Linked DNA regions of Bombyx mori. The protein of the gene in region 1 purifies or fractionates together with the protein of each later gene. This does not show direct contact. Links are inferred from orthologs where the notes say so. Each region holds a gene or a part of one and is shown on either strand. Other genes may lie near its edges.

Region 1 (4,242 bases):
ACTATCAGCCCCAAATTGACCTCACTATAGTCAAATATTTAAATTTAAATATGTCTGATAATATTATAACCAGGGGAATGGGCGAATTATGCTTATCAAAAATATATATAAATTTATAAGATTATAATGATCTTGCAAGCTCTTTACTCATTGTACTGTTACAAGTAATAATTAAAGTTAAATTAATTTACCAAGTTACATGGAAGAATGTTTTACACAAGCCAGCATCGCATCCCACACACACTCCTGTACGTGCCAGAGTCACGTCTTCACATAGTGCGCAAGAACGTGCTCCCCAACGAGAATAAGCCATTTCGAAAAGAGTCACACCTGATAAACGTTCTACCTGAAATAAAAAACATCATCTCCACTTTTCTAAGGTAATTTGGGATTTAATTTACTAGCTGGAACATTCAAATTTTATTAGTAAAGAAGATTTATTTTAAATCGAAGAATTTTTAAAATAATATGTCACTATGGTAAATATTTATTTATAACTTACCTCTGAAAATGCAACCCCAGGGACGTAGAGTGCACAAACCAAATGCACCCAAGCACCCACTTCAGTCTCCTTGAAAATCCCACCTGTTGTTTTATTTATTATTTATCTATTTACTTTACGAGATGAAATGAAATAAGTCCAGCAAAATGTACAAATTTCTTTTTTTAAATTACTATTCAGTGGTCTCAAGAATCAACGTAATTCAATCAAGAATTTAACAGAATAATCATTGTATAGTTAGCTTGTGAGTGAAACATAAATGTAAGTTTCGAAACTTTGTTTCTATCAACAAACAATTAAAATTTGTACCTTTGTTAGGGCATAATTCACAGTTGGGATCGGTGACACCAGCCTTACAAGCTTCACAAAACCATGGTTCAGTAGATGCTGAACTAACTGTACTTGATTCACTAGTCACATCAGAAACACCATAACAGCCTGAAATGTATTAATAACTAAAATTGATTTGGAATACTTTAAAAAAATGTATGTAGATTAAGTTAACTTTCAATTATAATCAATGACCTGTAATTTAAAAAATTTAAGCATGAGCATTGAAGACAAGGGGTTTATAAATACAGTCTGAATAATTTTATCCATTGTCATAAAAGTTAGCCGTACTGGAATCAATTTATAATAGAAGCAATAATGCTCTTTTTATATATTAATTATACTAGACCGGCTGGTGGCTGTAGAATGAATCAATAAAATAATTTTCACTTTTTTGTTCATATTTAGTATAGAATTATTTGATGAGTTTATATGTGTGCAAAAAATAACTAAATTATTTACCCTCATGAACAGTAACACCACAACCATCACACTCAACAATTTCATTGAAGTCATCACTTCGAGAGCCTAGGCACCCAGCACAAATCAAGAGATTAGCTAGTTCACCTGGAAACTACATAGCAACATATTGGTAAGGTATTCATATACAATGAAAATTTAATAGTACTTTACAGAAAAAATATAGTACGATTTTTTTAAATCTAAAACATAATTAGGTGAATCATTATGTTTTGCTGTCTGGCTCTAAAAAAAGATTGTAATAGTCTTAAAAGCTAAAACTGTAAGTTAATTAATCTTTAAAATTTAACTATAATACTAATAATTTATATTTTTTATCATAAAATTTTATTCTAATTTCATCTGACCATAGATCTATATTCCCTGGATATTTTCTACCACTCATGATCAACTCTTTTATAGCCAGTATTTTCAAATTTTGAATTCAATAAAAGTTTTTTTTTACATTATATATTATAACATACTAATTACCTTAAACTCATGCTTTTTAGCTTTCTCAAGAACATCTATAGCTGAAGCTTCTTCTCCAATCTTATTGCTAGACCCTTTGAAGTCATCATCATCTGATCCAGTTTCCTCTTCAGAAGCATTCTTTTCATACTCTATACAATCCCAGGGGAGTAAATAAAATAATGTGTTTAGACTCTTTTTTTGCCTACCTATTACTAGCAACTTCAAGATGCTAGCTTCACTGAACGTGTAGCAAGCTCACAGGCCTCAGCCTGGGAGACTTTACTAACATCTGTCCTAACAAAAGCAGTGCTTTGCTAAATATTCCACCAGATAGGAATTGCGGCCCATTGAGAAGATCTGGTGAGAAACTCAATGAGCTGTCTGTGGGTCCATTTTCACAAGGAACTCTTCATCGCATACGACGGGTTCGACGTGAACGGTGACCAGTGCTTGGAATGCCTAAAAGCACCATGAACGACACGAAAGGATCCGAAATCACATATTTATCCATTAAATAAGATCCTACTCCCCATTGGGAGACTTAAGGTTGAACAAGAAGAACAAATTAAAGGAGGCGTTTTGAATAATTTATAAAAAATACTTTACAAGCCACTTACTTTTATCGTCATCATCACTATTGATGGAATAATCATCACTCTCTTCTGGATGATCTTCAATACGAAAGTCAGAATCATCTGAGCTTTCGCCTTCTTCGAGGTCAAAATCTAGCAACGATTGAGGCTCTACTGGTTTTACTTTTCTCTTAGCTGGACCTCGATCTTCTGTGAAAAACGAGCAAGCAAAACATAAACAAAATTGAATTTTAATGTATGAACCTAACATATTGATTTTAGCATTCTAATTCTAAGTAGGCTCGAGCATCAGCGTTTATGAAGTCGACGCAATCAAAATTAAATAAATGTTTAAATTCTATTTCAAAAATTATGAAGCTTACCCATCTTGTCGCACAAAGCACAATTAAGTGTATAATCTATGGCACAATGTGTACTTCACAGATTAGTTTCAAATTGAGAGTAGCTAGGTGACACATGGTGTATCATCTATGATTAGTTCCGGCTTGTGAGCTGTGATAAAAATATCGTGATATTTAGAATTAGGAAAATATTTAACGTAGCCACTAAGATTATTTCTCATGAGAAACAACGACGGCCTGAAAAATACCCTATGGTATACCTACATTTCGTATATGAACTGTTGGAATTTGAATATGTAAGTAATGGCAGGCAACACTTGACACATGTAAGATTACAGTTTTCGTATATTGGAATGTTTATTTAAATATTTAAAACAGATGATTGTCTTCTCTTCAGTGAAGACAAAGACTTCTCATCTAGACACGGACAGTGCAGCATCTTAGGATTTTATAAAAATAAAATATTGTAATGGTTTAATAGTGTACAGTGTGTTTGCAATATATGTTAACCATGAAGCAAAGTGTTTTTAAACAGCTTCTCACCTCCAGAACCCGATCCCTTCAAATAGAACCGCCCAATAAGAACAACAAACATAACACCGTTCTAAGTTCTAAACCTGAAACGCTAAAAAATTTATTAACTTTCTTTTTTTACTTTTGTGGCCTAGTAACGATACTTCATTCACCTTGTTAATGCGTAGCAACTAAAAAGTTCACTACCTAGATGTGGTACCTAGTGGCGTTTTTAATAAAATATGGCTTAAATAAATCCAACTTCCCACCACACAGAACGACGATTTTTTGTGTCCAAAGATTCATCCAATACCTTTCAAATTTTTTTACAAGATGACTCTGTAAAACCGTTGCTAAAGCCACCCTACACCGGTCGCATCTAGTCAAAAACGAGAATCATAATCAGCACAGGAGACTGATATTAATATGTAAAAGTGTATCTCGATCGTAAAGCCCGCATTTATAGAAGCTATCATCAGATATTCCTCAAACAAAACAACCAATAACGATTTCAGGTAAATGACCAGTGCTTCAAGAGGATGTTACGCAATCAGAAACAATATCTACCGCATTGTTAACATTTCCAAATTTGTTGAAAATTTTAAATATTTTTCCCTTACTACAAAATAAAAATTTTTAATAAAATAATGAGATTTCATACAGCGTGGCGACATTATGGCGAATAAAAAGGCCACTAACACATTTATATAGAAGACTTCAACTTATTTGGAGGAAGTAAAAAAAGAAAAGAAATAATGAAAATTTTTCCATTTTCTCCTTTTCTTTTCGACTTCTTCCAAATAGGTTGAAGTATTTCTACTTAAATGTAGTAGTGGTCATTATAGTCTTCACGATGGCTACAAAGAGTAAAACAGTGAAAATAGAGCTTTCCAGAGCTTTTTCCCAAACCTATTTAAAGCAGTAATCTTTGCCGATTAACTCCAAATCTAATATCATAATTGTAAAGTTAGAAATTTGCTTTGTAATTGATGCCATGCGGAACATTTGTTGGATTACCTAATATTTGTTG
Region 2 (4,126 bases), on another chromosome or scaffold:
ACATAAAATGACAATTTACTCAATAAAATTAGTGTTGAATAATTACACATTGACTACCTGGTAAAGCTAATGTCTGAAGACCTTGCACTAAGGCTGCGACCAGACTACGTTTATGAGCAAGCAAAGCAGCAGTCCTTTCAGCTGCTGCAGCTGTTTCAGCTCTGAGTTTCGATGTAGCGCCGCTTACCTCTTCTGCGTGACGATGTAAGATTGCATTCTGATGTAAGTACAAAATATGTATAAAATTTTTAATCATTATCTATATAAGCACCATTTTAGTGCTTGGTAAGATTGAAGTATAAATAACAATAAATATTGTGGTGTACATATTTTTTGGTAGGACAGGCCATCTGTCAACAAATAGGAAGCCGAGAGACATAGAAGTGAATAACAACACCCATCTTGAAAATTGTAAATATGGCTGAAGTTCTATCTTTCAAACAAGAGTCCATGACCACTAGCTCCTACCAAATAGGTAAGATGGTGGTACCAGTGAGTGCCAGTCAGTCATCATAATATGCTATTAAATACTCATAGAAAGCTGCTGGACCATTCATGCTCCATTTACCTGCTGTTCGTAATCTGAATTTGCCTTTCTTAATTGTCTTAACTCAGATTCTCTCAGTTTGTTATGTTGCAGAAATTGATCTGTGAAGATTGGTATTTCCATTTCACCCTGTAACAATAAATTTACTACTTTACAAAACTTTGTTTACCTTCCAATTTGAATTTAAGTAGGTATTCAACAATTCTTTATGCTTTTTATGCTGACAATATAAACTGCAGAACTTACAGATGTAGGATTAATACATGGTCTTGGTCTTGGTGGGGTAGTCTGACGTGAAGACATGTTTGTTGTAGAAGCACTATACACTGTACTTTCTCCTGGTTGGGTACCCCCTATAAGAGTAAGTGTAAGTATTGTTAGTTTTTTGTCAAAGCACTTTTTTCATCAAATAAGTTGCTGGATTAATTTTATATATATATTACGTAATAGTGAAATTTTAGTGTACTTCAATATTCAACATTTTTTAACATTGTATTACAACATCTAGTTTTGCAAGCATGTAATGCCTATCTGTATGAATGCTTAAAGAGCTCCCCTTAAACTGAATTTAATATTAATGTTACTATGAATTAATCTCATGTAAGGTACAAATGGCACTATTTTCTTTATAAAAAGAGCAAATGAGCTCACGGCTCATGTAGGTTTATATGGCTAGAGACGTAAACATGGATGTCTAAATGCTACTACAATTGTATTGTATAACAGCTGTCCTAACCATCAAACTAATGTGCTAGATTCTTCATGCAAGATCGTAATACCAGACGTATGCTTGGTCTTGTTTTTGAGAAATTGTTGCGCCTAATATTTTTTATGGATTATATGGTTCTCTATTGATTTTTTTTTTTATTGCTTATATATGTGGACGAGCTCACAGCCCACCTGGTGTTAAGTGGTTACTGGAGCCCATAAACATCTACAACGCACATGCGCCACACACCTTGAGATATAGTTTTAAGGTCTCAGTATAGTCACAACGGCTGCCCCACCCTTCAAACCGAAACGTATTACTGCTTCACGGCAGATATCGGCAGGGCGGTGGTACCTACCCGTGCGGACTCACAAGAGGTTCTACCACCAGTAATTACGCAAATTATAATTTTGCGGGTTTGATTTTTATTGCACGATGTTATTCCTTCACCGTGGAAGTCGATCGTGAACATTTGTTAAGTACGTATTTCATTAGAAAAATTGGTACCCGCCTGCGGGATTCGAACACCGGTGCATCACTCGATACAAATGCACCATTCGTCTTAACCTTTAGGCCACGACGACTTCGTAAAAAGAAAAGAAAAAAGAAAATTTTAAAAGAATATTGGATTTACCAGAAACTGAAGCGTCTACTTGAGGAACCTGCCGTAACTTCTTTGATAAGCTACCATCTTGCAGATCAGATTGTTGTTTTGTGAACTCTTTATAAGCATTTGTTCTTTTGTATTCCGCACATTCTTTAACATATCTGTTAATTTAAAATACACTATTCGTATTTAAAATAATTTCAAATATATATTATTTACATCTCATGAAATTTAAATTAGGTACTTGATTAATGATTAACCTTTCTTTATCCTGATCTGCAGCATCTAAGTATTGTTGTTTTTCTTCAGCTGGAAGTCTACTCCACTCGCTAGCTAACTGTCTGGTCAATTCTGCAAAACCCAAATCTGGCTGTTGTGCTCGCAACTGATCTCTTCTCTCATTTAAAAATCTTACATAACCTTAAATATGAATATTCGTTTGTCTTAAAATTGTAAATAAAAGATTTTAATAAGGAATTAAGTAAAAATAAGACATCTAAAATAAGAGCTAAACCTGTGAGAGGTTGACGGGGTGCAGTTGTATCGCGAGCTGCTTTGGGTTTTCTTTTTTTGGGCTTTTTAGGTGATGTTTTTGGAACTTCTTTTAAAGCACCCGCCGTGTCAATCGCAACGGGCGTTTCAGCAAGCACATGAACATTAGATACTATAGGCACTTGAGTCAAGCTTGAGTCAGTGGTCACAGGTTTCGGGTCTTTTTCAATATTAATAGGCTGCACTTCTGAATTCACTGTATTTACAACGTCCGATTTTAAAGAATCGCTTTCCATTGTTGTTTTACTTCAATACATCCAACACAATACAATAACTATACTTAAACACTTTAATATCGGATTTTGGTTTAAACTAAGTAGAAAATAGGTATAGATAGGTAAACAAAGCAAAACCCTCAGCACCATAGATTAAACACTTAACTTTTTTAAGGGATTTTACGATCTGGTAACTAAGACCTTTAGGTCAAGTCTTATTTGAATTTATCCCCTGTTTTCCAATCACAGCACAAGAGCGCATTATGCGGCATAATGCCCAACTAAGCTTCAGCATAGGTAATTTCCATATATAATTTGATTAATATTTTACCTGATTTTTTTATTTTTAACTGATTTTCTTTTAATATTAATAATTAATTGATATGAGTCAAATGTAAGAGAGAGATAGAGAGACAGAGAAGTGAATATATCCCATAGACCTATATAGTAGGGACACGACATATTGTTCTATACGTACAATTGCTTATATAAATAGCACCCATTTTGAAGGCACATACATAAACATATATCTATCTCGTTCTTACTCAGCACTTTAACTCGCAGGAAAACAATATAACAGTATTTCAGTGCGTACATAAAATGAAACATGAATATACGTAAATATCTCCGTCTCCGTCTAATGAGGCCGAAAATCCGCCATGTTTAGCGCGCCAAATGTCATTGTCACGTCAGTTCGGCCGTCTGTTTTGGGTTGTACATTATTTATTGACTTTGATATCGATTTAATATGATTGATTATATAAAATTTCATAATTTATCATGCTTAAAACATACAAAAATAATAATTAAAACGTATTTTATAGGATCTCAAGAAAGTCGATGCCCTAAAACTATTATCTATATGTATTTAAATTCATTATGGAGCCCTCATCCGAAAAATCCATTTTTCGGTCGGAATCTATTGATCATGACACCATAGATTATACACTTAATAATCTATTCATCATGACACTAATCATAAATACCACTTTAAAATATGTCATCAAAACATATTTAGACATTCTGTTTAGATATTTCGGGAAAAAGGTTACCGACAAAATCTCTTCGGAACTATTTAACTAAAATAGTTTTATTCCGCAGTGAGTAAAACACTATTGTAAATTTGTTAAATATTTAATAATTAAGTGATTTTAGAGAGGAAGTCACAAGGAATGACGTTTGTAATTAATGAATAAATGTTCTGTAGGTGTTTTTTTTTTCACGCGGTCCCTTGATAAGTTTAAAATTTGAATCACTCTCAAGCGAAAGTGATTCAAATGGTGCGGCGCACCTTCCTTGGGGTGCATTGCGGTAGTATGTTACGGACTTTAGAGTCAGCAAAACAATTAAAATAGATTGTTATAGTCTAAGAAAAACACATACTCAAAATACGATAACATTTAGCATGCTAGAAATGGGCTGATGGCTTGAACTACGCCATATCTTTATGTTTTGCGACAAACGACAACTTTATAAAATCAGTGTAGCAACTTTTA

The links.
Region 2: the proteins of PHD finger protein 14 (region 1) and high mobility group protein 20A purify together in Homo sapiens (affinity purification with mass spectrometry; 3 studies listed by BioGRID and IntAct, counting the BioPlex papers as one, with this or other methods). This does not show direct contact. The link is inferred for Bombyx mori from reciprocal best matches to the Homo sapiens genes PHF14 and HMG20A.

What each region holds. Positions count from the first base shown.
Region 1 is NC_085115.1:7,808,776-7,813,017, reverse strand, and holds the start of PHD finger protein 14, read right to left. Parts: upstream 2,801-4,242; 5' UTR 2,725-2,800; coding exon 2,721-2,724; intron 2,548-2,720; coding exon 2,383-2,547; intron 1,915-2,382; coding exon 1,784-1,914; intron 1,407-1,783; coding exon 1,295-1,406; intron 941-1,294; coding exon 812-940; intron 586-811; coding exon 503-585; intron 347-502; coding exon 192-346; intron 1-191. UniProt on the Homo sapiens protein: Histone-binding protein. Binds preferentially to unmodified histone H3 but can also bind to a lesser extent to histone H3 trimethylated at 'Lys-9' (H3K9me3) as well as to histone H3 monomethylated at 'Lys-27' (H3K27ac) and trimethylated at 'Lys-27' (H3K27me3).
Region 2 is NC_085114.1:10,481,919-10,486,044, forward strand, and holds the start of high mobility group protein 20A, read right to left. Parts: upstream 2,801-4,126; 5' UTR 2,652-2,800; coding exon 2,378-2,651; intron 2,284-2,377; coding exon 2,124-2,283; intron 2,025-2,123; coding exon 1,891-2,024; intron 901-1,890; coding exon 794-900; intron 677-793; coding exon 569-676; intron 218-568; coding exon 58-217; intron 1-57. UniProt on the Homo sapiens protein: Plays a role in neuronal differentiation as chromatin-associated protein. Acts as inhibitor of HMG20B. Overcomes the repressive effects of the neuronal silencer REST and induces the activation of neuronal-specific genes.